Linked DNA regions of Drosophila melanogaster. The gene in region 1 interacts genetically with each later gene. Each region holds a gene or a part of one and is shown in the gene's direction. Other genes may lie near its edges. The genes, in order: Ppt1, m, Cisd2 and Syt1.

What was found.
Region 2: of Ppt1 (region 1) and m, changing one suppresses a phenotype caused by changing the other (phenotypic suppression), as found in Drosophila melanogaster (one study listed by BioGRID).
Region 3: of Ppt1 (region 1) and Cisd2, changing one suppresses a phenotype caused by changing the other (phenotypic suppression), as found in Drosophila melanogaster (one study listed by BioGRID).
Region 4: of Ppt1 (region 1) and Syt1, changing one suppresses a phenotype caused by changing the other (phenotypic suppression), as found in Drosophila melanogaster (one study listed by BioGRID).

Annotation. Positions count from the first base shown.
Region 1 is NC_004354.4:8,685,850-8,693,456, reverse strand, and holds Ppt1 (Palmitoyl-protein thioesterase 1), read left to right. Parts: upstream 1-3,229; 5' UTR 3,230-3,378; intron 3,379-3,410; exon of another isoform or gene 3,411-3,438; 5' UTR 3,439-3,477; coding exon 3,478-4,022; intron 4,023-4,162; coding exon 4,163-4,312; intron 4,313-4,368; coding exon 4,369-4,495; intron 4,496-4,554; coding exon 4,555-4,677; 3' UTR 4,678-4,830; downstream 4,831-7,607. Other genes in the region: CG11294 (uncharacterized protein), read left to right, coding at 1-200, 711-1,289; Ogg1 (8-oxoguanine DNA glycosylase), read right to left, coding at 1,760-1,846, 1,906-2,392, 2,454-2,771, 2,830-2,969; CAH3 (carbonic anhydrase 3), read right to left, coding at 5,280-5,420, 5,503-5,639, 5,715-6,189. UniProt on the Drosophila melanogaster protein: Cleaves thioester-linked long fatty acyl groups such as palmitate from modified cysteine residues in proteins or peptides.
Region 2 is NC_004354.4:11,749,884-11,758,394, forward strand, and holds the start of m (miniature), read left to right. Parts: upstream 1-4,389; 5' UTR 4,390-4,699; intron 4,700-5,765; 5' UTR 5,766-5,862; intron 5,863-8,511.
Region 3 is NT_033777.3:29,219,664-29,226,598, reverse strand, and holds Cisd2 (CDGSH iron sulfur domain 2), read left to right. Parts: upstream 1-3,170; 5' UTR 3,171-3,259; coding exon 3,260-3,356; intron 3,357-3,829; coding exon 3,830-4,053; intron 4,054-4,117; coding exon 4,118-4,198; 3' UTR 4,199-4,382; downstream 4,383-6,935. Other genes in the region: CG14507 (uncharacterized protein), read left to right, coding at 1-332; Brd8 (bromodomain containing 8), read right to left, coding at 411-3,029; eEF1gamma (eukaryotic translation elongation factor 1 gamma), read right to left, coding at 4,823-5,956, 6,020-6,169, 6,291-6,302.
Region 4 is NT_033779.5:2,793,845-2,802,013, reverse strand, and holds the start of Syt1 (synaptotagmin 1), read left to right. Parts: upstream 1-2,034; 5' UTR 2,035-2,105; intron 2,106-3,177; 5' UTR 3,178-3,528; intron 3,529-3,692; exon of another isoform or gene 3,693-4,182; intron 4,183-6,469; exon of another isoform or gene 6,470-6,525; intron 6,526-8,105; 5' UTR 8,106-8,125; coding exon 8,126-8,169. UniProt on the Drosophila melanogaster protein: May have a regulatory role in the membrane interactions during trafficking of synaptic vesicles at the active zone of the synapse. It binds acidic phospholipids with a specificity that requires the presence of both an acidic head group and a diacyl backbone.

The DNA of each region.
Region 1 (7,607 bases):
GTCCTTTTATATCACCGCTGCCCGGCGATCTGCTCACGGAGTATATGTTTGGCCGTAGGCGACAGCGCCGGAACCGGACGACCTTCACGCCACAGCAGCTGCAGGAGCTGGAGGCACTCTTCCAGAAGACCCACTATCCCGACGTCTTCCTGCGCGAGGAGGTGGCCCTGAGGATCAGCCTCAGCGAGGCACGCGTCCAGGTGAATTCCCCCTACAGACCAGGCAAAGTATCCACCCAGTTGATCCGCAAACCTGCGAGATCCGATTTAAAATCCTATATAGAATTTGGGTGATTCGTAATGGGTGATTAGGAATTAACTCTTTTGGGGTGTTATTTATAGTTAAGGTACTTCTTCTTACCTTTAATGGCTTAGAAATAATTAGTACACGTTTCTTTATTTCATTTAATTCAATTTCCCATTTCTTGTATAAAAAATATAATTTAATGAATTAAAACAAAACACACTGAGTTGTAAGAGCGCAATGTGCAATATGTACAACAAATATAAGGAAATTGAAGTGATTTTGATTAACTTGGTCAAAAATATAAAAATAAAATTTTAGCTTTACTTGGCCTTTTGGATTATTATCTCATAAAATCTTGCAAATATTTCAAAAATATTAAAAGAATATGAATCTAGATCTTCGTTTTTAGATCCAACAACAAAAGGCCAAATCTATATAGAGTAAATTACCTTTTTTAATTGCAGGTGTGGTTCCAGAATCGCCGGGCCAAGTGGCGCAAGCAGGCACGACTGCAGCTCCTCCAGGACGCCTGGCGGATGCGCTGCCTCAGCCTGGGCACGCCCCCCGTCATGGGCGGTGGAGCGGTGCAGGGCGGATCCGGCAACGGAGCTACGGCTCGACCGCCCAGCCAGACGCCGGAGAACCTCTCTTCCGCGAGCAAGGATTCGGAACTGGCGGAGGTGGGCAATGGACCCAATTCGGGGAGCTTCACCATGATGCACCCGGCATTCCAGCAGCAGCATCAGCAACAACAGCACCAGGGACACCAGCAGGCCACGGATCAGGATAAGCTATCGAAGACCTATACAGAACTAAAGCTCTATAAGGCGCCGTCGCACGGCATGGAACTGGGCGGAATGGCCGCCCTATCCGGACACTCCGACGAGGGTTCCGATGGATCCGATTCCGAGGAGATTGATCTCACCTCCGGCGCCTGTATCGATTTCTCCCAGAGCAGCAAGCTCCAGCAGCAGCAGCAGCAGCAACAACAACAGGGAACTCAGGGGGCGGCGGGATCAGCGGAGGCGAATGGAGGCCTGTAGACGAGGACTTTTATCAAGATACGGACAGATATAAAGATGCGGACACGGATACGAATGCGGATACAGATACTGAAACTTTCACTTGTACAGTGCTCACTCCAATAAAAGATTCGAATAACCACTTCATAAGCATATCCTAAACATCTGTATGCGTATCTAAAAGTGGTTTCCTTAGGTGATGAATTTCTAAAACGGACACAACACATTTTGAATATCCTAAATTTCAAATTCGAGCGCAATCTGTACACATAAATATGGCGATGTATATACAAAACGGACATTTAATGTACACTTTATTTAATCAATTACATCTGTTTAGCAATAAAAAAAAGATATATGAAACCCAGTATCAAGTTCTTTCTCTGTTTAGATATATATTTATATATACATTAGTATATACATTTCTATTATATTTTAATATTCAAATATTACAAGTAGGAATATTTTTTTTTTTAATCCAATAGATAAGATCACTTTTTAGGTTTTTTATTGGATTTTTTCTTACAAGCAACTGTGGAAGTATTTTGAAATTGACTCAAATCGGCAGAAAAGAGAATCTGAAATAATGATATTATAAGAAACACACAGACTAAATTGCAACTTTCAGTGTACTTACAGCTTGAGCCCAACCGGCATACTTTCCGTGTAGCTTTTGAAAATGTTTCGAGACCTCTTCGTAAATCTTCTTGGTTACGTTCTTTTGGCCGGTTAGATGTGGCAGGTAGTAATTTTGGGCAATTCTGTAAATATGAATGTCGACGGGCACTGACTCCAAGTGACCCATTGACATAAGGCAGATGCAATCGGCCACTTTGTATCCGATTCCGGGTAGCAGTGTCAGCTCCTCGCGAGCTTTTTCGAACGGCATGCTCTTTAGGCTTATGAACCAGTTTTGTCCCCCCTTTTTCTGGATCTCTTGCAGCGTTTGTGCTATGAACTTGGCCCGATAACCGAACTTGGCAGCCCTTAGCTGGGCATTAAGATCCTCGCATGGGATGTCGTGGAATCTATTTATCGTGGGAAATGTATACGCATCGGCACCATTGAAGTGACCAATCTTGGTGCCAAATGTAGCGCAAAACCATTCAATCATAGATGATATGCTAAGAAGAAACCAATTTACTGTATTTAATGATGGGATTCGCATTTGATTGAACCACCTACCGCTTGATGTTATTGTTCTGACTGCAAAGGAAGCTAAAAATGTTTTCGAACGGCTCCTGAGAAAGGAGGCGCACAGGCTTACTCAAGAACTTCACAAAGTTATCATCTTTGCTTAACCAATCTTTTTGGTTGACCTTTAGGTCGAAATCAACACGTAGGTAGTCAGATATCAAGGAAGAATAGTCCTTCGTGGCCAAAGGACTGCTGGTTCCGTATGCCTCGTAAGTTATGAAGGATTCTTCTTGCTGGAGCACCCAGTAGGTGTTGAACACCACTCCGCCATATTTCGTTCTATTACCATCGCATATGGATCGCCATCTGGCATGTAAAGTTGTTTTGAGTACATATGTTCATTATTAGTATGGATAGCGCTTACCGGAAACTCTGTCCTCCAAGCAAAGTTCTTTCCAAATCGCATTCTTCGAGGGATAAGCCTATGACACCCCGATCCTGTAAAACAGCCTTCATGTTTGAAAAAAGGCGCTTTTTATGGAAACCTAGGTTATGAGCCAGCATCCGGTTTTATAAACAACTTAAGCCGTGTTTTGGCATACTTAACAATAGTACTTTGTCACGTTTAAATAGTAAACCACATTAAAACTCGAGTTTAAATCGAAAGAAACAAACTCGCTGAATAAAATGTGTTATTGCTATCAGCTGTTTAGCATTTGTTTACCGTTCGGGGTATTCACAACATTCTACTTTTGCTTAGACGCCAGTGTTGGAAAATGTAAATTTTCTGTTCACAGCTGCACAATAAAGTACCAATAAATGCAGCAATGTAGACGAGGGCTTCGAAAAATGCACCTAATTGAACAGTTATATAGTCAAGCCTGTTGCCTTGAAAGGAAAAATAGTTGCAGTATTTTTCATGTTGCGTTAAAGCACGCAGTACGAAATTACCTTTAGGTATAAATAAGACCAGGTACATCCCGTACATGAAATATCCCGATTATATTATCGAACCATATATTATCGATAGCAGACGACTAATTTGATTTGCAAAAATTGCACTCCAACAACAATGATTTCTATCTGCTGTTCTCGTTTTTCATGCATTTTATTTTTGCTGTTCCTGATCTTTTCCCTCGTGCTGAGCTACATATGGTGGAGCCCGACGAAAGGAGGAACCAATCCGGAGGTCCTGCCGGTCGTTCTGTGGCACGGAATGGGCGACACCTGCTGCGTACCCTTCAGCCTGGGTGCCATTATGAACCTGATCGTGGAGCAAACAAAGGGCGGCTATGTGCGATCCCTGCAGATCGGCGGCAATGTTTTGATAGACTGGCAGAGCGGCTTCTTCATACATCCCAACGAACAGGTGGATTACGTTTGCAAGCAACTACTGCAGGATGAGCACCTGGCCAAGGGATACCACGCCATCGGATTCTCGCAAGGCGGCCAGTTTCTGCGTGCGGTTGCCGAACGTTGCCCGAATCCGCCAATGAGGAACCTTATCACACTCGGTGGGCAGCACCAGGGCATCTTCGGACTGCCCATGTGCCCCACCTTAACCGAAAAGCCCTGTGATTATATCACGAGGCTACTGGACAACGCCGCCTACGCACCGTGAGTCTATCTGTTGTTAAGGAATCCTAATATAATATAATTCCTGGAATTTACATGCTTATTAATCCAACACCACCATGTCGCCATCCTTGTCGTTTCCGTGTTAATTCTCTCTTCTCTCTTGCATACCATACACCCAGTGAAGTGCAGAAGGCATTGGTTCAGGCCACCTACTGGCACGACCCGATCATGGAGAACAAATACCGCCTGGGCAGCACATTTCTCGCGGACATTAACAACGAGCTCTTCATCAACAAGTTCTACATTGAGAATCTGCAAAAGCTTAAGAAGTAAGCGCGTATTATACTTATACATTTATCAAATATTATTAACCTCTGCTTTGCAGATTTGTGATGGTGCAGTTCCTAAACGACACAATTGTCCAGCCGAAGGAGTCCCAGTGGTTTCAATACTACACCACTGGGCAGAACAAAGTCATCCAGCCCTTTACTGAGAGCAAAGTCTATCAGGATGTACGTATGCATATCTATCACCTAACGTTCTAATATGAAATGTACATTTTTTCCTAAAGCTGGGACTGGACAAGATGCATCGACAAGGACAACTTGTCTTTCTCGGCGTCGAAGGTGATCACTTGGCCATATCCAAGGCCTGGTTTATCCAGAACATAGTGCCTCTCTTACTCGAAAAATAAGATGGTGCCCAAAAAGCACGTATTGTGACAAAAATGTTTGCATAGGTTTAATCCATTCTTCCTATTAACATAAGCATTTTAATATTAATAATGACTTTTTGATACTTTTATACATGTTTAATTAGATGTTTAATAAATTCAGTTTGGACATACAAAATGTGTTGATTTACTGTTCTTATTTTCCTCTTTTTCTCGCTTTCACTGTTTATCTTAATAACTTAAACGTTAGGATTACGTCTCTTGTAGATGTCTTAAGTAGTTGTGCCCGATATTTCTCTGAAATATTCAATGCAAGGCAACCGCGTGCTCCGACTAAAATTCCATACACGTATCCGTATCGTAAATACTCCGTATATATATATATATATATATATATATATATATGTATGTATGTATATGTATGTTTTGTTAGGTATATAACGCTATGTACATGAGGCAAATAACAAAAGCAGCTTACAGACAACCATAGACAGATAAATGTTTACACATAGCTATAGTTTAGATAGGCGATTGGGCGGAGAAAATTGCGCGAAAGGTTGGAAAAAGGAAAGTCAGCGGGAGCGGGAATTGTAGAATTGTATCCAAGTCATATGGCAAGCACATTATAACTTGGACTTTGGATTGGTGTTGCGCGCAAAGAAGATTTCCGGATCCTTGTGCGGACGCTGGATCTCGCGATAATTGTTGACTATCTTTTTGGACTCATCTTTGGGACACGATTGCAAATTGCGAAACACCTGAACCTGCAAATCAAAAGAGGTTTCTCAAATTTAGTGTTCCAAATGAAAGTATTTGGGGGATCATCTTGGTGAGAAAAACACGCACCTGGCCGCGAGACACATAGATGGGGGTGCGGTATATGATCCAGGTGACACTCTCAAAGTACGGCGCCGTTGTCAGCGAACCCTTGTACGTGTAATAATGTTTGCTCAGCTCCTGCAGACCAATCCATGATAGGCAATCTAAAAAAGCAGAGCCAAGAGTAATAGAGTAAGTCACATTTTTAAAACCATACTCGGTGAAAATTGCACACGCACCGGAATCCAGCGATGCACTCGTATGGATCTTTTGAACGATGCGGATGCCCTCGGTGATCTTCTTGAACTCGGGACAGTCCTTCTCGCCGCAGGCCTGAATAAAGAATGCGACGACGGCCAGGCCATCGGGCTTGTTCTTGGCCTCCGTGAAGTCCTTGTACTTCGAATTGTAGTGGACGGCATGGGCCTCCATTGAGTACTTCATGCCCTCCAGTGTATGCTCGCAGCCGGATTCATCGCAGTCCGACCAATGGAAGTGCAGCTGCTCGAACACGTACATGTCCTGCTCCAGGGCACCGCCGATTATGTATGGCTGTTGTTTTCGCTTGCTGAATGTGACCATTGCGGAGGTGCCTGTGTTCTGTACCCGGGCCACGCCCACCGGCTCCCAATGGCCATGGTACTCTAGTGGATCCACATCGTCAATGTGCTCGATGGCACGGTTGCTGATCTCAATTGGGGATTGTACGGGCATTGCGCTTTCCCAGATTCCTCCTCGAATTAAATTATGCTAAAAAACAAAAGCACATCGACATTAGAATTCGCCAAATATTTCATAATTAAGATGATCAAAGCCAGTGAATTCAAAGCTCATTCATAATAACATAAGAAAAGACGAGCCAACGATCAATGTATAACAACAAGTGATCAATGATCTCAGATCTCAGTGCATTCCGCACATATGCACCTTTTTTCCAGTTTTGATCTCCTAATCCTAGCTCCTAGCACCGATTCCTAGCACCCAAACCGCACTGGCTACTCCACTCCTCCACCGACGACGACTCCCTATGTGATATGCGCTGCGTTCAGGTATTTCTTCTTCCGGAGCTTGTACACACGCCCGCGATCGTCGGCGCTGGCGTCCAAATGCTCGGCTGGTGACAGCAGCGCGGCTCGCGGCGGCGGTGGCGATGTCGACGTCGTGGTGGCGACTGCTCCGCTGGGCGCTCGCGTCTCGGAAAAGTTCTCTATGCCGGCGCCTCCAACGACCGACGCCTGCTCCTCCTTTTCAGATCCACGGATTGGTTAAGCCCGCTTGGAAATGCACCTGCAAGAGGCAGAGAAATCGAGTTAATAATGTTCAGCTACTTTAAGGATATAAACAAACGCGAATTCATGAGCATCTTCCGTTTTGGGTGTAATTTCTATAACCGGATATATCCAGCAATATCAAGTGTGTAAAAGCGGTAATTTCCTGTATCCAGAGCGAAACGAGAGTCTACCATTCACGGCCACGGAATCAATTAAATGTTTAGCGACTCGCGTGCTGTTGATCCGCCCCCTTCGCCATCCCCCTTCACCAACCCCTTAACCAACGAAAATTGATACTCCGCGGCCAATGCATTTACCACCCGCCACCCGACCATCCGCCTTTGATTAGCCATTTGTGTAATTAAAGTGCGTCGAAGGACAGAATAAATGTCTCCATTCAATGGTGGAGCACCGCCTCTTTTGGTCAACTGCTTAAATATTCTGACGACCAGAGTACCAAACAAAGTTGTCATCTTGTTTGCACAATTTCCAATTGACTCGTTATAAAGTAATTTTCATCTATTGATTTTCACTTTATTTGCAATTTCAATAAGGCACAATTGAGGCGAGCTTTCGACTGGGAAACGTTGCCACAATTAAATATTGATTGGCAGCGAAATTCTTGCAATTGACGCAATAATGGAGTGTTAAGGATATGCACAAAAACCGATGGCCAATTTATGGGTCTATTAATCTATAAAATCGATAAAGGGTTTGAAAATTCCGAAGATCCCAGTAAATGCGATGATTGCAACACTCTGGTTAATTAAGAAAATACGTGGATTAGACATTTGGATGATCATTTATTAACTAATCGTCAATCAGTCTTTATTTATAGTCATTTATAGGAATGTCATTAAG
Region 2 (8,511 bases), 3.1 Mb from region 1:
TATTCCGGTGCCAATTCGAAATGAAGATCGGATAATAATGGTGCATACAACGTCCGAATATTTAATTTATAATTTTGAGATAGATTCCTATCACATAATGACGGAAGCCACATTAAATCAATGTCAGAAATGGCAACTAAATAAGAGAATATGCAAAGGAAGTTGGCCCTGGAATTCAGCGAATGATAATGCATGTGAGATTCAGCCTCTAAAGCCAGATAAAGCGGCGAACTGCATCTATAAAACAGTAGTCGACTCTAAAAGTTACTGGGTAGAGTTAGAAAAGAAAAGTAGTTGGTTGTTTAAGGTTCCTGCGAATTCAAAAGTCCGTCTGCAATGTACTGGCTCTCAAATTGAATTGTTTGATTTGCCTCAGCAAGGAGTTTTAAGCATTGCGCCATATTGTACGGCAAGAACCGACGATAAAATTCTAGTTGCCCACCATAACATTCAGTCCGAAAGTGAAGAATTATTATCAACACCTTATATAGGAGAAGTTAGTGAAGCGCCGAAGATTATTTGGGATCCGCTGAAACTATCAATATTAAATCATACTGAGGAATTTGAACGATTGAATAATGAAATTAAATTTATGAAAGAGAACCATCAAAAATTGAAAGATTTACATTTCCATCATATTTCCGGACATGCTGGATTAATTATTGCTTTAATACTAATGATAGTATTAATAATATATTTCATACGGAAATGTGCTGTGCAACAAAGAATGCAAGCAATAACCTTTGCAGGTCCGTTGCCAGTACTATAAATATCAATAGTAAATAAACAATAAAATAATATAACAAATAAAAATATACAGTCCACTATATCGTTGTTGTTGCATGAGGTCACCATAGGGGAAACAACGATTTCATTCGATTCATTCTAACAAATTAAACCATGTAAACAGCAGAGGCTATCTTTAACTACAGAATTAATCAGATATCCTTCTCATCGGGGTCACCTGTTTGCAGGAACTGGTGTAGTTCTTCGGGATCACTTGCAATAAGAATATCTTTAATTATTATCTTTAATTTCAATGATTTGGGACGGGGTCACCAAATGAGGCAAATGAATACTCGTTGACAGGCATCCATCTTGCTGAGGCCCATCGACCGGCCCACTAACCCATAATGCTGGCAAATTAGCATCGACATTAACTCGGTGGTGGTATCAGTCACCTTCTCCAGTCACAAATGCCGCGGTAATAGCAACAACACTTGCGATGATGGTTCCTAATGGCGATGACAATGAAAGAGTCTGTCCGCGAAGACAGCTTTATTTACTTCTGGGTCACGATGCTTGGTTTCTTTGTTGCTGGTGTCAAATGACTTGAGACATCCATTGGAGTTACAGGTGCTGGGCACAAGTCCGTCCGGACCAGGTGAGCTCATGGAGGTTATAAACATCGCACACGCCCCAAATGGAGCAGCATTTGCCGGCGAGTGACAAAAATAGTTAAATAGCCGACTTAGCCAAATTGGCACTTGGCGACCAAGGAGGCAGCGTACAAAAAGAGGAAATGCACTAAAGGAAATGTTAATAGCAAATTTAAGTTATAGATTAAATCAATACAATGAAATGGCTTTCATGGGTCCAAATTAGTGTACGAAAAGTTCTTTTTACCCGTTTAGAAGAATATAATTTCTTTTCAAATGTGAGTTACATTTTAGTGTAGAATGCCAATAGATTTCTGTGAGTGTAGACAGCAGCAATAGGAACAGCAGTCGGAGCAGAGATGGATTTAGAGGCAGTTTTAGAAGTGCGTTGAGGAATTACAATGATGACAGAACGGAGGGGAGCAGGAATACGGTGAAGGAGGGGACAGTATGAGTTGGTCCACCTCCCGACCAGGTATGTCTTATGGCCAAGGAGGTGGTGAGGCAGCGGGCGGACAAAGTGTGCCGATGGATGTCTTTGAAACGGGCGATGGCGATAGCTAACACGCCAAGTGGGAAGAAAGAACGAGCAACTGAGACGGCGACAGACGCCAAATTCAAAAGTGGACTGCACATGCGTGGAATGGGAATGAGAACGAGAAAGCGATTGCGAACGGAGCATCAGAGAATCAGAGAATCGGAGAATCGCACTTGAAGAGTTGGGACAGAAACAACTTTGTTGCCCTGACTCCCATGTTGAGCTAATGAAGCGGGCCAAGAGGTGGTTTGGTGGAACGATCAGGAGGACGCCCGCCAAGTCAAACGTTATTTAATCACAATCGCAATGGCCTCAGTGGAAGCAACAACAACAACATCAGCTCCAGTCTGGCCTGGGAGAAGTAGCTACGACAGGTGCTGCTGCAGCAGCGGTACTGAATCCAAAGGAATGCATCAAGGCACAAAAAAAAGCAGTCCAAAAGATTGAGGCTACCTTTTCGAACTGGATTATACTTAGCATTACCACTTCAAATTAATGTATGTAATACTTTTTACAATTGATTAATTAAAACAGTTTAGAATATGTTGTTTTAAACGAATTTGGTTTATTAATGAAGAATTCAAGTGGAAGTATTGTAAAATATCTTTTTATAAATTAATTTCAAGGAAAACTCGCAAAAGTACGAATATAAAATGGTAAGAAAGTCGGATAAACTAGTTCGCTTAAGGAAACTTAAATTTAAGGAGGTTTGTTAGCTCACATTCTTCTGAAGCCCAGGGATTCTTCCACTTTCTTCCGCTAAAGACATCATGCTCCCAGGTGTTCAAAAGAAGAGGGTACTAAATAAAAAACCCGATGTGGCAGCCGAGACTCTGGAAGAGGCAGTCGCAGTGGCGTGTGGAGTATGTAGGCCCGACGGCCAATCAATTCTCAGAAATGAAAACGCCGTCTTCGGTGGGTATTACCGTTGCTGTTGTTCTGCTTCTGCCGCTGGCTCTTCTGATTCTTCTGGCTCTTCACATTTCTCCGCCTTGTTGTTGGCACAATTGTGCGATGCAACACACAGCAACAGCCACATAAACAGAAAAGAATGCGAAGAAATGCAAAATGCAAACACCACGAACCACAACACAACCACTTTCCAAATGCATTCATGATGTTTACCGTTTAAATGCGCCCAGTCTACAAAGAGAGATAGACCCAGCACGTGGGAAAGAGACGGAGAGAGACAGGGAGAACGAGAGAGCGAGTGTGGAGCGAGGAGCAGCCTCTCAAACACTAACAACAAATATGGAGAAAAGCAGCTGCCAAGTAGAAGACCAAGAGGAAGAAGAAGAACGAGGAAAAGAAGAGCCAGCATGGAAACCGTTGCAGATTCTTGGCGTGCAAATGTATGTGTAAGCTTGCCAATTCCGATGTGTGCTAAAGAGAGATAGAGCTTAAGATCGCAAGAGGAAACGGATTTTGTTTTTTTTTTGTTTATTGCTCAAATCAGCTCTGATCAACTTCTGTTCCCATCTTGATTAGTTGTCAACGACGGGCGAAAACTGTTTAACCGTTATGAGCCGGCAGATCGGTTCCCAGACCCAAAACGCTAACTTATGCACCTTGCCCACCTGAAAAGCTGGCTACAATATTTCGCCCTGCATGCGTGCAGTATTTTTCGGATAAGGTATGAAGTTGTTATTAATCGTTATACTTTTCATGAATGGTATCAAGGTGTTTACATTTTAATTATTACTTTTGAAGAGTTTTTTACGTTTCATAATTAAATTATTTTAAATAAATATAAGCTTCAAATTCATCGAGATTTTCTTATAATCCTATTACGTGTTTCATAATGCAATCATTTAATGTATGGGGAACACTTAGGGGTATCCATTAAGTCGAAAGCTTCTCTACGAAACGAGCGCGCCGAAAGTTCAAGTTCAAGTGCGCCAAATTCCCGACGTCAACGTCGGCTGCGCTGCCAGCTTTCCACTGCGTTGCCATTTTCCTGCAGGAGGAGTTTTCAAAATCTCGCGATCTTCTGCTGATTGAGTGGGCGTTCGAATGTATTTTTATTGAAGTGCTAGATGTAAGTTTCTTTTTATTGGTCGTCTAATTGGCAGGCTATTCTATGTCATTAGGCCGCTTGATTAGCGCCACCAACAACAACAACAACAATCGCAACAATAACAACAACAAGTTCTGGCTGAGCTGTGCTCATTTGCGCAGCTGCCAACGCAGGTGTAAAAAGCTCGTTGCGCAGTCGCAGTCGGCGCAGGCAGAGCTACTCTCTCAGTGTGCTTGTGTGTGTGTGTGTGTGTGTGTGCGTGTCTAGCTTTGCCAGCTTCTTGCGCTGCCTCTCTCCCCCTTTCTCTTTTGCTCACTCTTCTGTGCTTGTGCTGCTGCTTCTTCTTCTTCTTGTGCTGCTGCTGCTGTTGCCTCTTTCTTCGGCTGCTGCTGCGGCTGCTGTTCCCGACAGTTACATTACGAGGCCAAAGAAAGTATCGCCTGGCTGGCTCGCGTATTTCGCGTTCGTCGCTCGCCGAGTCCACACGTGCTGCTGCTGCTAACGGTCGTGATCGGTGATCGTGATCCGTGATCCGATGCCCAGTGTGCTGCCCAGTCGCGCCTACAACAAATGTTGATAAAATAAATAAATTTCAAATAAAATAGAAAATCAAATAAGTAACACCACCCGAAGTGCTTACAAGTGTTAGTGCAATTTTTTTTTATTGTTCTTGTTGTTGCCACTGCCTGTTACCGTTACTTGCTTAAGCTTAGCAAGATACCGAGAAAGAACGAGAAGAGAGTTGAGAAGAAACGTTCCCGCGAAGTGAGTGTTTCTTCCATCCAAAAGCAAATAATTTTTTTGTTTTTGTCATATTGCCAATTTGAATTTAGAGTTGTGTGAAATATCCACGATTTGCAACCAGAAACTTATTCTATTCTTTGGAGAAGCCAGTCCACGGCTTTCCAACATCTTAAGTCTATTTCTTTTGCTTCCTGTGAAGACTTTATCCAGGATCTGTCATTCCTGCATCTTATTCGTATTCCTCTCTCCGCAGAGCCAATTGCATTGCTTGAGTTCTGTGAAACATCCAATCTTAGTCTTTCCAGCATCTTCTGCCTCGTCTTCTTGGACCGACAGTGGAGCCGATTAACCAGCTAGACAGCAAATGCAGCCGAGCATTTCATGCTTTCTAATTTTCCCAATTAGCACAAATGCGGCTGGCTTGTTGCCTCCGCTTCTTGTGCGCCCCTGCGTCCACGTCTTTTGCCACTGATTCTTCTGCTGCACCTCTTGCCAGCAGAGTGGTGTCTTCTCAGCCTGGCCAGAATCGAAATCAAAATCAAAGGTATTGCATGCACTGCGCCTTGGCGGCTGGCACTTTCCAAAGTTTTTCCCGTGTGGAAAATATAACAATCATACATAATAATAGTTAGTCATAACAATCACACGTACCAAGAAGACGAGACGCGAGACGCTAGAGTTCCATAAAAAAGAGCAACGTCATCTGGCGGATCGTATTCCCACACGCCCAGCAGGTGCACTATTTATTGACCGAACTCCAAAGCCCCCAATTCTCTAACCCCCCCCCCCCCCACACACCCTGTCCCCGGCCACCCCGCACAACTCGCATACACCTGTCAAATGGCAACTAATCATCAATCAGTCGCCATGAGCACGGACTTCACTCGGACTGAAAAGTCTCTGATGACGATGATGATTCTTCTTTATTTGCGTTACGTGTTAGGCGGTCCGGTTCGGTTTGGTCCGTTCTGTTCCGATTTCACTTCTGTCCTCCTCAGCTTTGTACATTTTTATGCTACACCATTTAGCTATTTTTTTTGTTGTTGTTTGTGCCTCACTCACATTTTAATGCATTTGCCAAACGCAGAGCCGGGATTTCACAAAAGAACGGAAATATAAGGAGTCCAGAGCAGCTGTAACACACTCAGCTGTGTCTTGACCTTCGGAAAGATTACAACTTATCGGTGAGTTACACACATTATCTATATTTTATTGAAACTACTAAACTTAGTGGGTAAGATATAGAATAGAATATAGTTGAGTAAGCTTGCTCTGTAAGGATTCTTAAAAGAAATTGTGGTCACGTTGTATCTTATAAGGCAGTCAACTATTGGTGGTCTTTATCTGGCCATAAAGCTTTTAATATCAGATTCCCCAGCAAACTTAAATCAAAGGATGTAAAGTATGTGCTTATTAATTAAACAAGCCAGACGACGATGTTCGATACAAGCCAGACAGATAATGCGAGGATAAGAGTGCCAAAAGCACGTTTATTAGCATACTGTTTTGACATCTTTTACTGGCCACATTGCCACCATTAAACCGTGTGGCAATGCGACAGGCAGCAAATGAAATGTTATGACAACTTTCGTCACTTGGCACTTGGTTCATTAGTCTGCGAAGAGCAGATAAATAGAACAGATCTTTGCACAGATACGGGGCCAAGTAGATGGAGAAGTGAGTGGTAGCGGTGCAAATGCATTTGATCCGTTTTGGAGCGCATTAAATGCACCGTTAACTACTTCGAATTCTAATTAAGCTGATGCGACAATCCAAAGCACGCCGCTGTGGCACAATAAACTCAATTCCAGGAGGCCAGATTGGCAGCAGCAAACAAACACGCGACTTGGCCATAAATGCAAGTTGCCAGGTTGCAACCAGCAAGTTGCAAGTCTCGTTGTCGCAATTCGCATTCGCATTCGGAATCGCTATTGGGAATCAGTATATCGGACAACGGCAGCTATCTCCACGCTGGACTATCTCTTTGTTTGGCCTCAAATGATTGGCTTTAACCATTATTGGTGGGACCCTAAGCGGCTTTACCTTACCGCCTAACACTTTTCGATTCAAGGTCTGATTCTGTTCCTTGGTTTCTTCATTCATTGTTCCCGTGCCCCTCGACTCCACTCATCGATGACGCATAATTTATGAGCTGCTGCCGCGATCGACCCAGTAAATTCTATTCCCAGTGCTCTTTCACATCCATATACCATATCCACATTTGCAGATACATCGTAGAAGCAGCAGATACATGAATACAGTAGATACAGATACAGAGATACGAAGACGTGTACAATATGCAGATGCGGATACAAGATAAAACCTCGTCGACAAGTCTTTTCTTTCACAGAATGTTAATTTGTATTCAGCCAACATCAAAGATACTTCGGACACTGGAAAATATAGTGTGTGTGTGTGTGTGGTGGGGAGGGGGGTCTATTGAGCTTGAGATGCCGGCGTCTCGTCGTCTAACTGTTCTTTGCCTTTCTACAAACATTCCATAATGAAATGGAAACTTTTCGTGGCACATTTCGGCCTTTAGTGCATCTTTGGCCCAACGAAACGGTTAGAAAAGTGAGAGTGCTGATCGACCCAATGGGGCTCATCAAGCTAAGATATCTCAAACACTTAGGAATGTTGTTGAGTTGAGCTTACAAAAAGAACAATGCGGTCAAAAGTAAATATTCAACTAATACAATCCGTAGAGTTTTCTTACAAGTTTTCCCTCAACTTGGTCAAAACAGGGCGTATAGTCGTACAATGGCATGGAAATTTTTAAAAATTCGTAAAAAAATAGAATTCCGAATAACAGTTCGAATGAAAACAGGTTTTGGCCAAAGTGCACTACTTACGATAGGAATTTGCATCGTAACTTGCCTAAAAATGGTCATAAAGATAAACCAATGACTGTTTTTTACAGCTTATTACCAATACTAAGTATCCCTAACACTTTTTGAAGGATTTTGAAAAATTAAATTTTGGGTCGATTTTCGCATTTTCGGTAAGGGGTAACATCATTAAAATTTGCAAAAAATGGGTAAAAAATAGAATTCCAATTTTTGAATACAGTTTGAATGAAAATTTAATTACGAGCTCAACGATATATGACATTCCATATTCAGACTATTATTTTCAAAGTTATGGCCAAAAAACCTATTGATGTATTATGGAAATTCGGAAAATCGGTTTTTGGAAAAATCCGCTATTTACGACGGGTCCTTTCTTCATAACTTGGCCAAAAATGCTTATAAAGATGAACCAATAGCTGTTTTTTACAGCCTATTACCAATACAAACTGACAAAATCAATTTTTGAAGGATTTTGAAAAATCAATTTTTGGGTCCAATTTTGCATTTTCGGTAAGGGGTAACATCATCAAAATTTGCAAAAAATGGCAAAAAATTAAGGAATTATTAAAGAGCCCAACGAGGTATGACAACCCACATTTGGACCATTATTTGCAATATTCTGGGCTAATAACGGATTATATTCATGCGGAAAATCGAACAAATTAGCTAAATTTGCTATTAAGTTGTGGATATGATGCAGAATCGGTCCTCAAAAGTCAAAGCCACTCTGAGTGAGCCTTAAAGCAAATGTCATAAGTATGTACATATACTACATATTTGCATACATATTTAAAGGCCTCGAGTCCTCTTCAAAAGCAGAGTGCCAAGTGACCCAAGGGCACAGCGCATCGAGCAACTCTTGAACACTCTCTGGCATAAACATGCCCAATAAAGATGTTAGCTTTTCGTCTGTGCATCCGATGATAAGCAGCTGGATGTCTTGCTGGCTGGCTGACTGTCTGGGCTTGGCTCTGCCGTCGAGAC
Region 3 (6,935 bases), on another chromosome or scaffold:
GCTACGGCTGCTACTGCGGATTCGGTGGCCACGGAGTGCCCGCCGATGGCATCGATCGCTGTTGTCGCGTGCACGACAAGTGCTACGGTCAGAGCAACTGCATCTCCTATCTGGAATACTTTGTGCCCTACGTGTGGAAGTGCTACCGCGGCAAGCCGCTGTGCGCCGTCGATCATGGCGAGTTCGGTGGCCCCGACTCCTGTGCCGCTCGTCTCTGCCAATGCGACCTGCGGCTTTCCAGGTGCCTCAAGAGGTACTACTGCCCACACCGACGCTCCATTTGCCACTCGTCCAGATCTCGACGCTTACAGAACCTAATATTCTTCGATTGATGTTTATTGTTAATGCATGTAGCATGTAAGTTCCAAAATGAAATGCATAAATGAATACGTGTGAAAAGTTAAGTGAGCCTAGTGATGCCTTTGGCTCTTTCGGGAGCCGCTCCTGGCCTTGCTTCCGCTCGATTTATCCGCTCGCAAGCTTCCCGTGTTGCTCACCGGCGTGGCCGTGATCCCTGCCTGCACGTCCGGCAATTGGGAGAACTCTTTGATCGCCTGACAGTCCTGCACGAACAAACGCGCCGTTTTGTGCTGAGCCGTGTGTGGTTTGTAGGCCACCAAAACGTTGTGGGCCATGAGCAGGACATCCCTGTGCAGCTCGCTCAAGCTGCGAATGAATCCCGAGTCGATGTTCCGCTTGATGGTGGGGAAATCCATGGGGCGTAGGCATAGATCCGCATGTCGCTGGGCGTGCTCGTCGTGGAAGGGACGCTTAAAGGGAGCCGCATGCTTGCTGTCCAGCAACATGGCATAAATGGACAGGAAGAGCTTCTTGGAGGCGGCTCGCGTTTCTCTCCGATCGTCGGTGTGCTCGCTGGAGGCGGGAGAATTGGGTATGCTGTCGATAACGGGCGTGGAGGAGCAGCGGCGACGTGTGGACCTAGCAGTGGAATGATCGCTGGCTGTTGTGGCGTCATCGTCCACCATTGGACTTTCGGACCGATCCCGATGCGGCAGTTTTCGTAGCAAAGGCGTTCGAGCTGGCGCCGACGGTGGCTGAGGTGTGCCACTCAGCTCCAGTTCCGACTTGGAGTCATCCAGAGCCAGCTTCAATGCCGGGGGCTTAGCTTTTGCACTCCTTGGATGGTCATCGTGCTTGCTGCTGTCCGTCAACGAAGACGACTCCTCGTCTGTGTCGTGCAGATCCACAGGAACCGGAGCGGACTGAGTGGTCGTCTTTTCTTGCATTGTTACTGGCTTTCCCGCTGTGTCCTTGCCTGACTTGCTTTGTGCTTCCCTAGTGGCTTGGTGATCTATTAGTTCCGGCTCGTCCGTGCTTCCTCCTGCCTTATTTTGTCCTTGGGAGCTACTTTCCTGTTCGGATTTGTCTTCCGCGGCATCCTCCTTCTTCGGAAGGGAATCAGTGGCCCCATCTTCCTCCATTTTCGTGGGTGGCGATCCTGCAGTATCCTCACTTGAAGTGCTGATAATGGTAATGGTCTCACCAATCTCCTCCACCGCCACCTCGCTGGTCAACGGCTCGGACTCTGCGTCCTCGGTGCCCCTAGTAGATTCACCACCGGACTGACCACGATCCTTACTCTCCTGGGAGGCCACGGCAGCCAGGGGTATATTGTCGTTGGAGTCATCGCTGGATCCAATTACTAGCTCCACAGATTTTGGTTTATCACTGGCTGGGGAACTTTTACTTTGCTCCCGCTTCAAAGCGTCCAGCTTGTCCTCAAAGTCAATAACTTCGGCTTTATCGTTTGATGGCGAGGCTACGACGTCATCCACATTTTTCAGAATCTCATCGTCAATGACACTGGCCATATCAATGTCGATGTCATCTATTATTTGATCAATGTTTTTGAAGACTTCCAGCAGCTGCGCTTCGTTGGGATCCGCCTCGTCGGAGTCTGCTGTGCCAGCTGCAGAAGAAGTGGCTTCGTCTACACCCTGCTCCTGGTTTCCTGACCCCTCTGGCTTTACCAAGCTTCCGCTTTCGTTGGCCTTCGCCGCAGCCATGTTCTTCTCTAGCAGCATGGAGAGTGTGGGTGCCGCCTGCGAGGGACTCCGTTCGAGTGTGGGCGTAGTAGAAGCCTCACTGGCCGGAGGTCCGGTAATAGGTCGGGACATAAACGCCGCATCTGTGGGGCTCTTCATGGTGATGACTGGCTGATTGGCAACAGCTGAGCTTGGACCGCTGGTCAGCAGCGAGGTGATGGTTGGCGCCGTAGCCCTGGCCACGCTGCCAGTTCCTCCGGCTGCTGGTGCAGCTCCTCCTGGGGTGGGCGTTGCAGGTGCATTGCCTGTGGGCGATTTCAGGAGAGATGTGAGTAGAGGCGAAGGACCCGTCTGCTGTTTGCCATTGCCACTGGTGTTTATGTCCTCCACGTCCATATCGACGGAAGTCGTGTCGGCAGCTTGGTTGGAACGCTTGACGGCTAGACTGCTGTTTCGCCAGTTGCTGGCCAGGTCCTTCTTGCGCTGCTCGCGCTCCCGCATGCGATTCTCCAGCTTCATCTCCTCGATGCGGCGCGCCTCCTGCTCCTTCTCGATCTCCAGCCACATGTCCTGCAGCTCCTGCTCGGTCACCGCGTCCGATTGCAGCGACTCAATCTCCCGCTGGATGCGTCGGTAAGTCTCCTGATCCTGACGCATCTGCGCCTTGATCTCCGCCTGACGCTCCTCCGTGAGCCGACGGAGCAGCAATTCTGTGGGCGTCTCCACGGTGGCCGGCGAGGAGACGCCGGCACTGCTTTCGCTGCTGCGCTTCTTGCGCTTGGTGGCCTCCACGCTCTCCAGCAGATTGCCGTACTGCATGGCACAGTTCTTCTGCGAGAACCAGTCCGCCGGTCGGTTACTGCTGCCATTGCCGCAGATCGTCTTCAGCGTGCGGCTCACCGTGATCCAGTTCTGGTCGCCGCTGCAGGAGACCGCCGACGCCAGGATGAGCTGCTCCCGCTTCGACCACGTGTCCAGCGGCATGCGGCTCAGTTGCAGGCGCTCTTGTACCCCGGCAGACATTCTAAACTGCAATTTATTGATTTCAATCAATAATTCGTAAACAAAACAGAATGCTATCGATGACTACACACGAATCTGTAATACTGCCTATCGTCGAAAATGCAGTGTGACCCTAGCACTGCGATACCGATAGGACTGGCTTATCGATTTGCTAGCACCGCTAACCGATAGCAACACAAAAACAAGTTTTCCGAATTTAATAGCCAGTTAAATAAAAAAGGCGTTTCGAAATGGAGCCCATATCACATCTGGTGAAGTCCTCGCTGCCCAATTACTTGTCAAGTCTGCCGGTTCCCGACAGCATCGGCGGCTGGTTTAAGCTCTCCTGTAAGTTTGGGCAATGAGCGTGGTTTTGCCCATTGGAATTTGATTTGCCTTCAAAGGGCGCCCCACATAAACCCAAATCCACGATAATGACGCAGCATCTAGGGGGGCCAACTAAATGGACTACTAAGGTGCAAATGTGGCGTGATATTGCGGAGCTGCTAACGGGAATTGGAAGTGCAGTGTGTGCACTTCCAGGCAAAAAAGTTGCAGCGATTATGCAACAACTGCTGAGCTCGCCAAGAAATTTATAATTGGAGCAAGTTTGTCTCGCAGATAGGCAACTAGATAGACGCATAATACAGGCATACCAACATGGGTATACCTATAAACATATATGCGCATATCTTGGTGCGTTTATAACCCAATATGTGTGTAGGGAACGACCTTGTGCCGGTTACGGCTGATCGACCAAAATATCTAGTTATAAAGCTTAAAATGCACTGCATTCCGTATTAACCTGGTTTCGTTTGCAGTCAAGGATTGGTTGGCCCTGATCCCACCCACCGTGGTGGTGGCCGGACTCGGCTACACCGCCTACCTGGCCTACTGTCCGGCGGCACGGGCCAGCTGCGCGGCCAAAAACAGCGGACGCTGCAACAACCACATCCGCAAGAACGAGCCCAAGGTGGTGGACATGATCGACGTGGAGGATATTGCGGAGAAGGCGGCCTTCTGTCGCTGCTGGAAGACCAAGAACGTGAGTGCATTCTAACCTCTGAAATATTGTGAACAAAATTTTCAATTGAATCCTCTATTCGCAGTGGCCCTACTGCGATGGCAGTCATGGCGAGCACAACAAGCAGACTGGAGACAACGTCGGACCAATTGTCATCAAGAAGTAGATTGCGGCGGTGCATCGATACACAAACGTTCTAGCATTTCCTCTCGCTGAGCTCCAGTTTGCTTTTAAAACCAATAGTAGTGGCCGAAGCTGTTTGAACCCTTGTAATTGTAAGCAATAATTGATGATATTGATGGATTAAGTTAAAAGGAGCCAATAAAATTGCCCAAACATAAATTCAAATCGATATGCTTAATTCTAATTACTAATAAATGCCAGACCTAACCTTTACCAACAACCAAATAAACCACACACACACATACACACACGTGTGAGAGAAAACCGTGCTGTTATTAATAGAAAACCTTTTATTTTTTATAAATATTTTCTGACTGCAGGCGGCTGTTCCGTTGACAATATCATGCTGTGTTATGCTTAGGCGGTTACAAACAAATTCTCCAGTACAAAATGCAGGAGGCGAGACACACGATTCCGCCAAACGTGGGAGGCAGCACGACAGATATTGGATATCTTTAGTGTACTTATCAGTTGGAACTTAAGAAATGGGCATTGTGCTCTTCCTGCATTTTAAATCTCAAACTTTATTGTTACTGCTGCTGTTGTTGTTGTTGGTCTAAATGAGGGCGGCTGCTGCTTTGAGCGGAGCTGGGCTAGGCAGAGATGATTACTTGAAGATCTTGCCCTGGTTGAACTTGCGACCGTCCTTGTCGGTGCCGGACCAGGAGAAGTACTGGGTGACCAGCTTCTTGGTCTCCTCGCTCTTGGCGTCGAGCTTCTTCCAGTCGTAGACCTCGTAGTCGATCTGCCAGTCGGGGGAGAGCGTGAAGGCCAGATCCTGTCCGCGCCACACCCAGATACCGGAGATGGTGCTGTTGCCGTCCTCGCCGAACAGGCAAACGGAGGCGAAGGCCGCCTTGCGCATCTTGTCCAGACGCTGGAACATGCCGGTGATGAGATTGCACGACATGAACACCTTGGACAGCTCCTCGTTGTATTTGTACTCGCCAAACCAGATCGAGTAGTTCTCGGCATCGAACTTATCGAAGAAGTAGGGAATGGACTTGGCCTCGTCCTCGTTGGAGTACACGCGCTTGAAGTCATCGAAGTTGAAGGTGCCCTTGGGCAGCGCATCGAAGGGGTCCTTGGACTTGGGCTCGGCGGCCAGGGCCTCATCGGCGGCGTCCAACTCCTCGGCGGGCTCGGCAGCCTTCTTGGGCGCCTCCTTCTTTTCCTTGGGCTTCTTCTCCTGCTTCTGCTGCTGAGCCTGCTGCTGGGGCTTGGCGGCTCCGGTCTTGGCCTGGAACTCGGCGTACTTCTTGGGGTCGAAGACCAGGGCCTTCTCGCACAGCTTGTAGTCCTTGACGACGGCCTGGACCTGCTTCTGGTTGAGGATGGTGACGAACCAGCGGTTCACGTTGCCGAAGGCACTGCGCACACTGGGCTCCAGGACGTACTCGTACAGGTGGAGCAGACTGCTGAAGACCACAATGTCGGCCAATGTGATCCTCTCGCCGGCCAGGAAGGTGGCGTCCTGCAGCTTCTGGTTGAGCTGCTGCAGCACAGCCTCGGCCTCTTGCTTGGCAGTGCTGTTCTTCTGCTGCGGCAGAATGCCCAGCAGGGGGAAGACCCAGGCACAGGAGGCAGGCACAATCTCGTTGTCGGCGAAGGAGATCCACTGCTGGACCTGGGCCTGCACGAAGGGGCACTTTCCGCCGCGCAGCTGCTCGTTGGCCAGCAGGTAGGCGATGGCATTGGACTCGCTCAAGTACTGTCCTTCGGCGGTCTCAAAGGCGGGCACCTACGGGCACATATCGTGTTGATGACCTGGCACTAGCCACACCCACAAAAAAAGCGGACTCACCTTGCCACCGGGGAACTTCTTGAGGAACTCAGCCGACTTGTTGGTCTCGCCGAACTTGAAGTTGTCGGCCACTTTCACCTGGGCTCCGGAGTACTGGGCTGCGATGAGCGCCTTGTAGGCCCGGAAGTTCTCGGGGTAAGTGTACAGAGTCTGCAAATATGGGTGGATTAGTTGTGATATCGTGGCAGCTAACCGGCATCTGGAAATTCGCAAATTCACATGGCTCGAAGCCACGGATTGGAAAATCCTCACTGCCCTTGTGCGTACGTACTCCTTTCACCATGGTGGATTCGCCGTTTAAATCGTCTGCCTGCAAATACAGTATTAAATACGATATAGTGGCAAATTCAGCGAAAAAACGCGGAGCACACGCACTCACCGGAAACGAAGAAGAGAAGGGACGGAAACAGGGCTGCAGGAGTCATCATGGTTACGGCGATATATCGATATTTCCTAGGCCATTTTGGTCATCGATGATTTCTATTCGACCTCGATGTTAAATTATACCTAAAAACATAAATCATTATCGTTTTTGGTATATTTATTTATCACATTTCAATTTGTAAATAAAGTCCAATAAGTGGGGTTTCAATAACAGCGTGCTGTTAAGCGCAAGGCGTTCCACCACTAACTGATCGTTAGTAAGAAAGATCCAATTTCAAATAAGGTGCGTTTATTCTAAAACGACCCGTATTTTTTTGAATTTAAAGTGTTCCCCTATGAAGATATCTGTGATCTCGTTTTATATTTATATTTAGCATACTGTTTAGTATTGCCTGATATTTCATAATTTAAATTTAAATACAGTGTTGTAAAGGGAAAACATAATCTCTGCGAATAGCAGCCTAATCGATGTTAACAGCAGCGAACTATGTTAAGATGGAAGATGAATTTAAGGAAGATTTTTAATTTAATA
Region 4 (8,169 bases), on another chromosome or scaffold:
CTGATAAAAAAACCAATTACACAGCATTAATGATAATTAATTTGTCAATGGTTTCTGTGGCAGATAAGCTCATTAGGCATTAACCAATCGACCTTTGTCGCACACGTTGGAATCCAAATATATTTGCCAAGAATTCGAACGCAATCTACGTGATTCATGTATTCATACAGCGAAGACAAAGTCTAAACCTGGTGAAATTATCAGCTATTTCATGTAGATTAGAAGAAGTGAGAACTTCAGTTGTGCCTATTGCACATCTGGATTGTGAGTATAAGCACTTGATAAGGTGCAAGTGCCGAATAAACCACATATGCAAAGCAAATAAAACCAATGGCCATTATAGGTGGCACGTGTAGCCTTGCCATAACCTCGACCACCAAAACGATTGATACCACACGGAATCAGAAACATAACATAGGAAAAAACCAAACATTCGCTGATTGCGAGTCTAATCGGGTGATGCAGGCGGAAAGAACACTATTTTTTGGGGGTGGGAAACTTCGCATTACCTCATCAAAGTTGCCCCAAACCAAACCAAAGCAATCATGCCAATTGCCCCAATTCAAATCGATTAGTCTCGATGACACAGCAACCCCAATAATGCAATTGCCCCACGGCCAAATCGGATCGAGCGCGTGCCGCCTCGCTTATCGCCATTTGGGAGCAAGTTCAAGTGACCACCGACCAAGAGCTGCTGCTCCCTGTCCACTTCCCACTGATAACTGATAGTGATAAGTGCGTAAGCGAGTGCGTGTTTACATTCCGCTCTTCGCTTCAATCATCAATCATCCGCGATCGATCTCGATCGATTTGAGCCCGAGGACTGGCCGTTTAATTAACTTCTTCGCTAGCGATTACCGATTGCCGTGCGAGGGTTCCCAAGATAAACGATATGGGAAATCACGAACCCCGAGTATGGCCAACCGCCTGATTGAGGCGTGAAGGTGACCAGCACTATCGAATATCGTGATTTATTTGCGCGTCGTAAAGGATTGTTAATGATTCACCCGATATAAATACATAACTCATAGGAAAGCAAGTCGATAAGTATTTCTGTTCAAAGAAGTATGATTTAAGATCGTATCTGCTTTGATTTTAGGTTACTAATAGTAACTTACTATGTATTTGTATTCCTATAGTATATTTATTCAAAACATTTAAAAATATATCCTCATTGCATGTAAAAACTCAGCTACTCTCTAGGGGGAAATCACGATTATAAACTATTTTTGTGACAAAGTATTAATTAAATTATATTTCATAATTATTGTGCTGACATGTCATTAAGATGGACTTGTCAGCCCAAAAGTAGGCACGACCTTTTAATAATGCATTTCCAAAACCAAATAAATTGCCTGGATGGATCGGATCTATTGAAAAAGATTTAATTTCACAGTCATACTATTTTGGCTTATCGTTAGATAAGTAATTTGTTTTGATTTTTTGTGAAATATACGATACAGTGCCGCCATTTACATGGCAAATCTCAGCTTTCATAGGCGAAGGAAAAATAGTACGGAAAGTGAAACTTGGCACAGAAAAGCTTTGCTCTACAGCAAATGGCAACATTGTGTGCCATTGAGACACTTCCGCCCCAGTACGCATGCACCAAAAAACATACTGCGAACAGGTTCTGAAGGAGCTTTCAACTTTACATGTGATTCCCAGTCAGATGTTTACCTCCTTTGGGAAAATCTAGAGAGAGATATAGTAGGGATTTTTGAAAATATGTATGTAAAGGTACTAGACATGAGATACTGTAGTAGTTATTCAACTCTTACTTATGAAGGATGCATTTTATGGTAGTGCCTATTTTATGATTATCCTCCTTTGCATATCATACAGACGTAGGGGCTCAGCCATGTCCAGCTGGCCTAAAGTCTTCCCCTCCGAGATTTCCGCTGCCCAAAAGCTCCCCCCACGGTGGACACCGCCCCGCTCACCCGCTGGCCGAGCGGCCAAAATCGATGCCCCAACCGGTTCGCTCTCGCGTTTTGGCGAGTGGCCCAAGCTTTTCAGCGCTGCTCCTGGAGCGTGTGGGCCAAAACGCGAATGAACATCGACCGTGGAAGTTGACTGCTGAAGTACAAAGCGCTAGGCTGAAGGTGAATGGGAAAGAAAAATTCTAGAGGCTCATAAAAAGTGGCAATGCCCATGGAAAATCATTCAAAAATGTGATGAAAAAATTATGAAAATTAAACAGAATTGGTTGAAAGCAAAGCAAAAGTGTTGAAAGTGTTTTCCAATTTGTTATATAAATGAAAAGGCCATCGAAAGCCCCGAAATGTATAGTGCGCGTGTGTATGTGTGTGTGGTGTGGGTGCGTGTATGCGACTGTGTGTGTGCGAGTGTTTAGCACGCGCTGACAAAAAAGGAGAACATTTTTTGTGTATCAGAATTTTTCGCAGCAAATGTCGAGAAAAAATGGCAGCTAAGCAAGAAAATTTTAATTGAAAATTCCAATGTGCAATGCGAAGATGAAAGAAGCGCTGAAAAATGGGCTATCATTGAAAGTGAAAACGCATGTGAGCCACTTGCGGGGATATTGATTTTTCCCACCCGACTATTGTGGTGCTGTAGGCCAGTCGAAAGCCAGGATTAAAAAGCATATCAATGTGAATTCGGAAAATCCGAATCCGCAGTCCTTCAACGCCCTATAATTAAATAATAAAAAATTAAAATTGAAATGAGATTTTTAACTATCAACTTGAAGTGTCTGAGTGCGAGAGAAAAAAGGAAAGCTCAATTCAAGCCAAAAGAGGCCCTGAAAAGGACGAAAGAAATGGCCCTAAGAAAATCTCTATCCTGAATTTGCTTTCTTCGAGGAAAAAGCGAATTTGCCAACCTCCCACTCTCTCTCTCTCTCTCTATTTTTGTCTCTCTCTGCCCACTCACCAACACGCACACACATGCTCTTTTGGGCAAGGAGACACAACACACAGACACACACACAAAGCCGAGTTCGCTCTATCAATATTTACGCACACCATTGTATTTTGCTATTACGTATACGCTGCGTATCTCTTCAACTCTCTCACTCACTCTCTCTCTATATCTCTCTCTCTCTCTCTCTTCCTCACTTTCCGCTGACATCCTTTGTACTGCAAAATATATGCAAATAAATCTAAATAAATTGAATTAATTTCAATTAATTTTATTACAAATTATCCAAAAAAGTATACGAAATTCATGTGAGACTAGCGAGCCGCGGCCTCACTAGCCAAAGCCAGTCACAAAAAACCAAAAACATAAATCAGGCAGCAGCAGCAGCACACATACATCGACAAGCGCCAGGACCCGCATCACCATATCCTTCCTGCCAAATAGTCGCCACTGCTGCCGACCCTCCCCGCTCCCCTCGCAGGAGTCACGCTTCGTTAAACGCTGCTCAAAACCCATCATCCTAACTAATAAAGCGGACGATAAACAAGCGAATTAAGTACCAAAAACGACCGAGCTATTAACGCTAGTCTGGATCCCAATTGCTGATTGGAAAGGAGAAACATTGGCAGCATTTCTGATTAGGGGGTGAGTGTTGGTATTTACAAGAACGTAGCACACTTTTTGGGGCAGTCCATAGAGTGAATGGAGAAACATACATAACTAAAGGGTTGCTGCAGCTAAAGAAAAACTAATCTCTAAGCTATCAGAGAAAATGTGATTGCTTATTATTCTAAGATACAAACATTTCCCATGGTTAACATTCATCTTGAATTATATTAATATCTAAATAATCAAGTTAATTAATAGATTCACAAAAATTTGCAGGAATTTCCTTTACCAATTAAACCCAAAAGGTCTGAAATACTTTGGGTTTATTAACTTGATTAATTGCCAGACTGCCAAATTCTCTGCCCAGTGCCACACATCACTTGTTCATCGTGTCCTTTCTTATCTTCGTCTAATAAGAACTAAACCTGATTTAGTCCTGCTCTTCGCTAATTAGCTTTGGACAGCCCGAAGTTGGGCTGGAATTCCTCGGAGGGCAGGCTATTAAGGGCATTGCCGAAGCATAGCAATAAAAATGCTGCAAACAAGCTCGGCAGGCCGCACATAATTGCCAATAATCAAGTTGGCCCGAACGGCAGCGTAATTTTGACCCTTCGCGTCGCCCGAAAATCCTTTTGTGTGAAATTCGAGAATATGAATGAATTGTTTGCACGGAGTCTATATTTGATTTTGAAAACATCGAGACGGATTGTTCAATGAAAGCGAAAAGCATAATGATGTGGAAAATTGGTTTTCTCCGCCAGGCATTCTTCTGGCCTGAGGCAATGTCGGGCTCCAACGTCTAGCTTGGATTTTCCTTCATGTTCATTTCTTTTTTTTTTTATTTCCTTTGCTATTTTCCGAGTTTTTATTTTGTTGCCTTCTCTGGGTTATGTGCGCAGTAAAGAGAGCAGAAACAGAAACAGAAAGAGAGAGAGAGAGAGAGAGCTGTGGGCATGTGTGGCTTTTCCGCTTTTCCATCCTTCCGCTCTCATAGTTTTCCACTCTCCGGCTCGCCAAAAAGTTTAACCGTTTCCCCATTCGTGAGCTTCGAGAGCCTCCTGGCCATTTTCTACGCGATTCGCCCGTATTACGTGCGTGGGTTCCACAGATGTTGCCATAGATCCGAATCCGAACCCGAATCATATTGCGAGCTCCATTTGCTCGCTGGCGGGTTTGTTTGGACCCGGTAATGGGTAATGACTGCCTGTCCAATCCATCCCATGTTAATTTGTTTTGACAGCTTGATGGTAAGACCGGTAGAAAACTCTATTTTTACTCGGGTTCTTCGTTGCTTACTCGCAGTATCCTTTTACCATTTATCTTATCGCCATGCGAACCCCGCGCTAATCTAAAATGCCCAGCCAATTGCCGTTATCTGTGCTCCACTTTTTGTCACTGCATTGCACCACCCACCGGGCCACCAACCCAGCAGCCCACGCACCCTTATCAGCTTTTTCTGCACCACCGCCCACAATTTATGAAAAAGCAGCAGACAGCTGCCTATTTATAGGTCCTTCGCCAAAGGTCAAATCGTAGCAATTATTACTAGGAAAGCACACATTCCTCTTATCGTCCCTAAATTGGAGCTCCGAACTGAGCTTTGATTAATTTAGTAGGGTCTTCGACACGAAAGTTCTGTTCATATTGAGTAAGTTCATCAAAAGTGGTAATTGAATTTTACAACGTTAAGTGGAATGCTGATTTTTGGAACTTATTAGGAGATTTCAGTGTACCTTGCTTTATTTGCTCATTTCAATTATAATACTTTTCCGAGACTGGCTTTCAAAAGCAGTACTTCCTTCATGTTTATGGCACTTTTGACAGTTACTGGAAATGTTTTGCCATCAATCGAGTGCTCAACAATGAACTCACTGACCACTCAAGCGTCTTACTACCAATAACAAATACTGGAAGCAGCTGTTTTGGCCCTAAACATAATTTACACTTTAGCACGAAACGAAGCCGTTTTGAACTGCGTAGTTTGTTATTTAGCTGCCACTTCTTGGTGCCCAGACAAGTGGGCACCGCAAAATAACCAGCACACCCATACGCCCCGTTGACCCGTGGGCAAAAAAAAAAAAAAAAACAGTGCCACGAAATGCTGGCAGAATGACAAAAGTGTGGCAACTGGCGCATACAATATTTGTGACCTTCTTGTGCCTTCCTGGAAATCACAGTAGCTGCACATCTTGTTCCTATTAATGTTAAGTTCTTTTTCTTGCGGGTTTTTCGGCCCCTTATGCCAGGAAACATAATTCAGCATGAGATTTTTTGGTGCATAAATAAAATATGAATAACAAAGTGGTCCACCTTTGGGTGATTGCCATTTTCCGGGCAACTTTCGGTAGCTAGGTGTTTCTGATTGTTGCGTCCACATTTATTATGGATGAGTCTTTCGGAGGGTAGAAAGCCCTTGTTTATCCATTTTATTTATCTGCCACTGGGCTGCAACGCAATTTGTCAGGGAATCACACGGAAATCGTGACATCTCCCAGCTTTCCACTTTTTGCTGCCACATGACTGGTTTTCCCCTTCCTCCATCTCAAGGAGTCATTTCCAGGCAGCTTCTGTGCCGCACAACTTGTCCTAGATGCATTTAAATTTATTTATTTCTCGGTAATTTTCCTTTTTGTCCTCAAGTGGCCAAGAGTCGTGGTCGCTCATTCTAAAAAGTAAAATAAGTTAGTGCATTTAAAAGTAGGACAACATTTAAAATTTATATTGATCATGTTAAAGTTATGATGTTTATCAATTGTGCACTCTTAAATAATTTACAGAGAAATTGTCTGTCTTAAGTTTAATCTTCGCGAAATACGAGATGAGCTGGCAAAAACTCATTTAAGAAAGCGATAAGCGGAGAAAAGAGACAGCTGTTTATTATTCATATGCAAAATTGGTGAAAAGTAAACAATTTCATTAAATTCGTGATAAGAACATGTATGTATATTAGTCCAGCAGCAGTACTTTTATTTAGTCGCTCTAGTTTAACTGTGAGGTATGGACATCAAATAAGTATGTGATTAAGTTATACAGGTAAAAATTATATATAAGAAATATTTCTATAATTAGTTTTCATTACTTAAGCCATGATGCATGCCTTTTTATTTGAAAAATATGTTTAGCTTAATTTTATCGATTTTAAAGATGCCTTTTTCGACCCAAAACTGAATTAAATCGCAAATTGCGTTTGCCTAGAAGGCAATTAACCCGCATAACTTAATTTCGCACATTATTCATGCAAATTGTATTGTATGTTGAGCAAACACAGAGTTTGCATCTAAATTTTCCACCCGCGTGGCATCCACAACTTTTGAATTTTAAGCATATTTATGGGGCCAAATAAACAAAGCTGCCTTCAGGCTTTTCATTTAAGCGGCTTGCCGAGTTTTTTCGAGTTTTCCGAGTTCTTTTCCATTTTCCGTTGGTGTGTGTTAGCGTGTTTCAGGGTATGGATGTCCTTTGACGTCATTTGCAAAGTAAACAAGAGAAAAGCCATAGGAGAAGCATCGCTTTCCAGTCATTTTGGCTTTAAATTGCTCTACACACACAGTTTGCTTTTCTTTCTTTCTGGCTGAGAGGATAAGTGGTTTTGGTGACATATTAAGTTATCTTTGGCTCACGAGATGCTTTATGGAAACAATGAGATGCAAACAAAAGGTGAACAAACAATGGATAGCGGACTTGGAATATCATTTAACATAAAATCAATTTGACAATAGGATTCCTCGTGAATAAATTTCATATTCTGCTGTTCAGATTTAAGTGAACCAATAATATTCCAATGAAATTCGACTTTTAGTATTCTTTCGGCTGACATGTGTCGTTCAACTTTTGATGGATTACCCAAATTGCAGTCTTCAAATGAGAGAAGAAATTGCCAATCAGCGAGACATAAGTACCCGCGTATATTTTCCACTGGGGCAACCCCCAAGCTCCCAAAGTCCCAGGAGTCCGTCTCTGCAACAATGGCAGTTCAGGGTCAAAGGATGTCTGACAAAAAGGAAAAGAGGAGCCAAGCACCCAACTCAAGCAGCCATCCGCCGTCCATAATTAATACGACTCAAGTTGTTAAAGTAAACGAAATGAAGTAAAATGCGGAAAATTCAAAACGAGCGACTACAAAAAGCAGCTGGAGAACAGAACCAGCAGCTCGGTGTTAATATTAATGAATTCAATTAAAGGAGAAAGTGAGCGAAATGGGAAAAAACTGAGCAAAATCGTAAGGGGGGATCCCAGCCGTTCAAAGCGTTTTGCGTGGGTGCCATTGTAGAAACACATATATATGTATATATATATGTATATGTGGATGGGTGGCTGGTTGGGTGGCTTTGGGAGTGCGTGCCCTTGGTGGCTAAGGATAAGCACTTTTACTTGGTGCGTTTGGTGCCACTGCCACCACCACCCAACAGCCCGTTTTAGATGACGCCGTCAGCGCATTTCTAGTGTTTCAAGGATGCGAGTGTAGGAGAAATTGCTAACGACTTTTGTGGGATTTCTTTGTAGCCACACTCGAGTTTAGCGCTATTTTTAAGCCGGCGACAGCCCGGAAATTAAACACACGCATCATTAATATCCATTTACGTTCAGCTACTCATTAAATTTTCACTTTGCAGCAACAACACAGCAAAACAAAATGCCGCCAAATGCAAAATCGGAAACGGACGCCAAACCGGAAGC